Linked DNA regions of Drosophila melanogaster. The protein of the gene in region 2 interacts with the protein of the main gene of each other region in a pairwise test. Each region holds a gene or a part of one and is shown on either strand. Other genes may lie near its edges.

Region 1 (2,866 bases), on a different chromosome or scaffold from region 2:
CTGTCGAGCACAAGGACTACAGCTTCTAGCCTTATAGCACCATGTCCAAGGTGGGAGTTGTGCAGTTGCAGAGGCGTCTGGATGGCTTACTGGCCTTCCTCAATCCGCACTGGGATTTTGTCAATTGCCACATGGTGAACTACTTGACGGACCAGCACTGGGACGGCTTTTTATCCGAAACGCTGAAAAGTGAGATCGCCGGCAAGGAAGATGTGGCTCTGGCCATAGAAGACCTATTTTGGAAAACTGATGAATCAGAAAGGTTTCCGGCATGGCGAGAATTCCTAGGCAAGAGCAAACAAGAACGCCTGTCGCTTCAGAGGGTCAGGGGAACTCCACGCAGCTAAGCATTCGGGAGTTTATGAGCGCCAAAAAGTGCCATGAGGTAAGTAAACCAACCATTTTAAATGAGAGTATTTTAGGAATTGATTAATCTCTCCGATTAGGTGGATCTAACAGCCGTTCTCGTGGACCAGCTTGTGAAGAACTCCGGTCAAGATTGCTTCATTGTAGACGCGGGCGATGGCAAAGGGTATTTATCCTCGCGCTTGGCGCTCCAGTATGGTCACCGCGTGCTCGGCATCGATGCGAACGCGGCAAACACCGAGAACGCATTGAATAGGAATCGCAAATTGCAGGTAGGCCGGGCTTACAAAATAAAGTTAGCTTTATTTCATTACGTTTGTAGACTTAGAAGTAAGGTGTGGGTGTATGTAGGTGAATCCATTGGCTAGTCGCGCATTTCGCCCTCCTCGTCGTCGTCCTCCATGCCCTTGATATACAGCACGTTGTTGCAGCGGATGAGCACCTCGCCAAGATTACCAGTCACGGAGCCCTCGATCACTTCCTCCGTGTTCGCCAGCTGCATGTTCATGTAGCCGTCGACGGAGACCAGGAAGCCCTTGTACTCCTGGCCCCACTTCAGCTTCACCAGCACCGGTTTTCCCGTCAGGCCGTTCAGGAAGGGCTTGGGGTTAATGGGCATACCAGCCGACATTCTGTTTATTTGATTTTTCCTGCCTTTTTTATAAAATATTACAACAAGCGTGCCGAAAATCGCCGGCTTTTCGCGTTTTTTTTGTGTAGTGTGACCACAGCTGCGCTGTGTAAACATACCAGAACAAGAAGAAGAATAGCATAGAAGAAGAGTATTGAAAAACCATTCAAAAGCGCCAAAATTAAAATTTTATTTAATTTCAGCGCGCTTGGAATGGCCTTACGGAACGAGCGGAGCTGCAAGTCCAGGGAATCACGCCCAAGAGACGTGGTAAAAAGTCGCCAGCCAGGGAGAGCACCAAGAGTGCGCCTGCCTTGGAAAACTACAAGACAACGGCAAAGTTTATAACCACCGAACTTAACTTTGGTGCCCTGCTGGCGGAGAATTTCACTCAGTTTAGACCGGAAGACAGTCCAAACATTTGCCTTACTGGATTGCATACCTGTGGCAACCTGGCCGCCACCTGTCTTCAGGTTTTCCACGCCCAAACGGACTGCCGGTTGCTTTGTAATGTTGGCTGCTGCTATCATTTGCTGCGGGAGCGCTATTCGCAGCAGGAGTTCTTTGGCAATAAGTCCCTGATGGAGCTGCAAACAGACTATGGATTCCCATTGAGTCAGTACCTGCGGGAGCGACAAGTGCGAATGGGTCGCAATGCGCGGATGCTGGCGGCCCAGTCAATTGAACGCACCTTGGACACCAAGGAGCTGCCTAATGTAACGCTCTACTATCGAGCTCTCTTGGAGATTCTGGTTTGCCGCCATGCGCCGGAGCTGAAAAACGAACTGCAGGTGGGCAAGGTACGGAAATTCGAGAGTTTCGAGGAGTACATTCAAAAGTGTGCCACCAAATTGGATGCTCCCTGGTTGGCAGCTGTTGAGAAAGAAGAACTTCAATCCCTGCTCCAGGAATATGCCGTGCATAAATACTTCTTGGATCTGTTCTATCTGCTGCGCATGTCCTTTGCTCCGGTGCTGGAGAGTCTAATTCTCCTGGATCGCCTGCTCTACCTCAAGGAACTTGGCTATGAACGCAGCTATCTGATAGATTTATTTGATCCCGTCATTTCGCCCAGGCATTTTGCAATTGTTTCTATAAAGCAGCAAACGCAACAATAATGAAATTCACAAATGCATCAAAAGCTTGACGAGAAAGCCGGTTGTGTTTAATTATTTATAGATTATAGCGTGCAATACTTTTCATATCGTATATGTATTGCGTTAACGCTTTTAAAAATCTAACTAAACCATAGCACACAAAAAGTAAATAAGGTTGTTAAAACTAAGAATCATTATAATAAATGTAATCATGACTTGTAATTATCTTAGAGTCCCTCTGGATTTGCTGTGGTTTGTTTGTCGTATTTTAAAGCTTTTTCCACCACACAGGTGAATTTATAAGTATGCACTTGAAATTGCTATCTCAGAACTTTTGAGACTTTCGAGTATAAAAACGCAAACAACATTTCAAATCGCCCCAAGTGCGGTGCGTAGAGCTTTAATTGTCGGTTGTGTACGCGGGTGCTCAGAATTTATAGATCCAATAAAAGTTTCCTTGAAATTGCTGGACAAACTTGTTGCGAATTAGGCCAGTTGCAAATAAATTGTGTGACTAAAAAAACCTGTATATTTTCAAAGTAAGTTATGAAATTCGGTATACAAAATTGTATATTTTAATTTGAAAAAGTGTGATATCCTTGAAAAAACCACACTTAATATGGAATTGAGGGCAACTGTGAAAATTAAGATTACTTGGTTACTGTTACTGTTACTAAAATAAATAGAGAACTGGTTTCTAAGAAATATATTTTGGACATTTGCTCTATAGAAATAGTAGTCTCATGTATAATTAATAAAGCTTAGGACGAAA
Region 2 (3,566 bases):
AATATATAGAGGATATCTTTGTCTTAATAAATTGGATCCGAATAGTATGTACTCAACTACGTGCTTGCAGACCAGGTTAAAATATTTCAAACATTTAACACCCGAGCTTAATAGAAATCTAGATAAATATCTCGTCACAACTTTCTGATCAAAGGTCAGAAGGTAGCTAACTTAAAGTAAAGTAGCTGATAGATCGCAACAATGTAAAAATCAAGCAAATAACTGTGAAATCGTTCCTATTCAAGGTCACGTACAGCAACAACCTGGTGGCCAAGGATGGAGTGGAGCTAACGCCCACCCAGGTTAAGGATCAGCCAGTCGTGGAGTGGGACGCGCAGCCCGGGGAGTTCTACACGCTCATTATGACGGATCCCGATGCCCCCAGCCGAGCGGAGCCCAAGTTCCGCGAGTTCAAGCACTGGATTCTGGCCAACATCGCCGGCAACGACTTGGCAAGTGGTGAGCCCATCGCCGAGTACATTGGCTCCGGCCCGCCCCAGGGCACGGGTCTGCATCGCTACGTCTTCCTGCTGTACAAGCAGTCCGGCAAACTTGAGTTCGACGAGGAGCGCGTGAGCAAGAGATCCCGCAAGGATCGCCCCAAATTCAGTGCCGCCAAGTTTGCCATCAATCACGAGTTGGGCAATCCCATTGCTGGAACTTTCTACCAAGCCCAGTACGACGACTATGTTCCAAAACTGCACAAGCAACTTTCGGAGAATTGATTCCGTTTTAATCTTAAACAGATACTTTAGGAAAAATCGATTAAAAGATGTTAATCAAAATATAAGAAATTGCGATTACGGATTGTACTTTCGTTATACAAATTTATAATGGGATATGTTACTGGGATGGGATATTTTCCGTCGTAAATTATAGCTCACACTTTTAATTAATGGCACATTTTGGTCCACAGAACTTATTTGGTTGATTTACGGATTTATTAACTGAAGTTGATGGATATTGGTTGCTGTACGCTATCGCTATGGTAGACTACTTGCCGGCCGCCGTGGCCAGGGGATTCCTTAGGACCAGGATGACAGAATCGCCTCGCAGGAACATCTTCGATATGAACCGATCCTTGTTCACGGGCTTCACCTTCTTCTTGCCCTTACCGGTCCGCGGCAGCTCCGTCCACATCTCCTTCACGTTTTCCAGTACCATGTTGCAGTGCCGATCGAAGGCCTTTACCCTGCCCAGCAGCTTCTTGTTGTTGCGGCAGTTGATGAGCACCTGGGTGTTGTTCTTCACGGACTGCGTGAGCACGGACAGCGGGCCGGTGTTAAACTCCTCCTCCTCCTGCCGCGCCAGCTCCTCCGGGGTCAGCTCCGATTTCGGTTTCACAAGAGCCCTGCAGAGAACACAGTACATTAGTATTTCACCCACAACTCGAGCGTGGTGCTAACAATGCAAAATGCCGGCGCACATGCCGCTGCCAGTTACGCCATTTCCGATGGTTTGTCCCATCTGCCCCGGGATACTTACATAGCGGATTATAACTATGGCTTGTTAAATGATGTTGATAGTCTTCTTGTTTCGCTTCTCAGTTGGTTTTCTGCGTTTATTGTTGGCAAAAGTATTCAGCGCGGCTTCGTTTTTTTTGCAGTGTTACCAGCTCTGAGGACGTTTGCACTCGACCAGCCCTGAATTTCAAAGCTAACTATCGGCGTTTGGCATTCGCGTAAATTAAATAAACTATTATTTTGAAAAATCAAGCTCAATTTGAGTTTTTTATTAAAAAACTTATTAAAATATTCAATGTAAGAAGTGTAAACATATTTAAGACCATAGTTAAAACATTTTTGTGAAAAGTTGGTAATAGTGTTATCTAGTGTGCCAGCCTTGGTCACACTGCCTGGCACGAGTTCCGAATTGGGAGGAATTTATTTTGAAAATAAAAGTAACGAATGGAACCTGTGAAAGAGACGATGACCACTGTCAAGGCGGAGAAGCCGGTAACCACCACTTGCTCCTACTGGGTGTTACGCAAAAAGCGCCGCTGCAAGATGACTGCAAACAAGGGCAGTGAGTTTTGTGGAGCCCATGCCTCATCGGCAGCCACCACTGCAACTTGCGATGAAAAAGCTAGAGAAGATTCCTTCCAGGAACGTATTCCCTGCCCGCTTGATCACAAACATACCGTGTTTAAAAGAAAACTAGCCAAACACTTGACCATTTGCAATGCCAGGGATCAGGAAAGTTCACTGCCCTACATTGTAAAAGGAGTGAATTCTGGAGACAATCTTAAGGAAACAGACGAAGATTTGAACAAATTCAATCAAATAAAACTGCACGAACTGGCGGATGAAGAGTTCTACAGTCTGATCGACAAAGTTAAGAATCTGTATGACAAGCACATCAATTCCAGCATACAGGAACTGCAGCTGGAGCACGAATCCCTAAAGGAGGAACTTAGTCGCAAGGACTACGGCCAGGAAACGCTACGCCAGCTCACCCAGACCACTAGCTTGCTGGGCATCCTGGAACACGATCACCAGTTGATGGATCACACGAGCTATATAGAATTCGGAGCCGGAAAGGGACAATTGGCCTACTTTTTGGCCACCGTATTGCAGGAACAGAAGTTGAGTCACTCACAGGTGGTCCTCATCGATCGAATGTCCCTGCGGCACAAGAAGGACAACAAGTTGGCCAACAGGGAGGTGGTGCAACGTATCCGTGCTGATATCGCTGATCTTAAGCTTTCTGCTCTGCCGGAGCTAAAGAAAACCCAACGAACGGTGGCTTTTTCGAAGCACCTCTGTGGAGCAGCTACAGACTTGACCCTGAGATGTATACTCGGTGATGGAAATGCCAGCTCGGACTACGTTCTCATCGCCCTGTGTTGTCATCATCGCTGCTCCTGGCGCTCCTACGTGGGACGCAAGTTTCTTCAGGAAGCTGGAATTGGACCACGGGAGTTCGTTATCCTAACCAAAATGGTCAGTTGGGCAGTTTGTGGCACGGGCTTAAGCCGAGAGCGGCGTAAGGCCATGGAATCGGCTGACTTTCAGCTCACCGAGACGAACACGCAGCGTCTAACTCGCCAGGAGCGCGAACAAATTGGCCAACAGTGCAAGCGGGTTCTGGATTATGGACGACTGGAGCATCTACGATCCCACGGATATCAAGCAGAACTTAAGTTCTATGTTCCCAGGGATGTGACTTTGGAAAACGTGGTTCTGCTGGCCAGACCGACCAGCCCTAAGCTGGACCAAAATAAATGCTGTTGACTTAAGTAAAATGACTTTTCTCCTTCCTTAATTCATATCCTGCTCCTGGATTTAAATTTTTCATTATTTACTAAAAACTAGTGACGATCGCACCATCGCCATAAAAATGTTCTGATGTCATCTTTTGTGACGAAAAATATTTAACTAGGAAAATGCAATGTCATATTTTTATTTCGCTTTATTAAAATATTTATTAGCTAGGAAGACATTTTTATTGAAGCGGTCCGCATAGGTAATTTTTTTTAGTTGTAGAATTAATGTTTTTTATATCGAGCTATTTTGCACAATTTAAATGGTGTCATTACCATAAAATGTTCATGCAAAATTTATATA

The links.
Region 1: the proteins of SmD2 (region 2) and SmF interact in binary tests that used the Drosophila melanogaster proteins (3 or more experiments, as listed by UniProt).

What each region holds. Positions count from the first base shown.
Region 1 is NT_033778.4:12,183,193-12,186,058, forward strand, and holds SmF (small ribonucleoprotein particle protein SmF), read right to left. Parts: upstream 1,119-2,866; 5' UTR 998-1,118; coding exon 731-997; 3' UTR 652-730; downstream 1-651. Other genes in the region: CG13175 (uncharacterized protein), read left to right, coding at 1-29. UniProt on the Drosophila melanogaster protein: Plays a role in pre-mRNA splicing as a core component of the spliceosomal U1, U2, U4 and U5 small nuclear ribonucleoproteins (snRNPs), the building blocks of the spliceosome.
Region 2 is NT_033777.3:6,344,286-6,347,851, forward strand, and holds SmD2 (small ribonucleoprotein particle protein SmD2), read right to left. Parts: upstream 1,627-3,566; 5' UTR 1,488-1,626; coding exon 1,486-1,487; intron 1,352-1,485; coding exon 994-1,351; 3' UTR 726-993; downstream 1-725. Other genes in the region: CG17919 (uncharacterized protein), read left to right, coding at 246-725; CG18048 (uncharacterized protein), read left to right, coding at 1,908-3,233.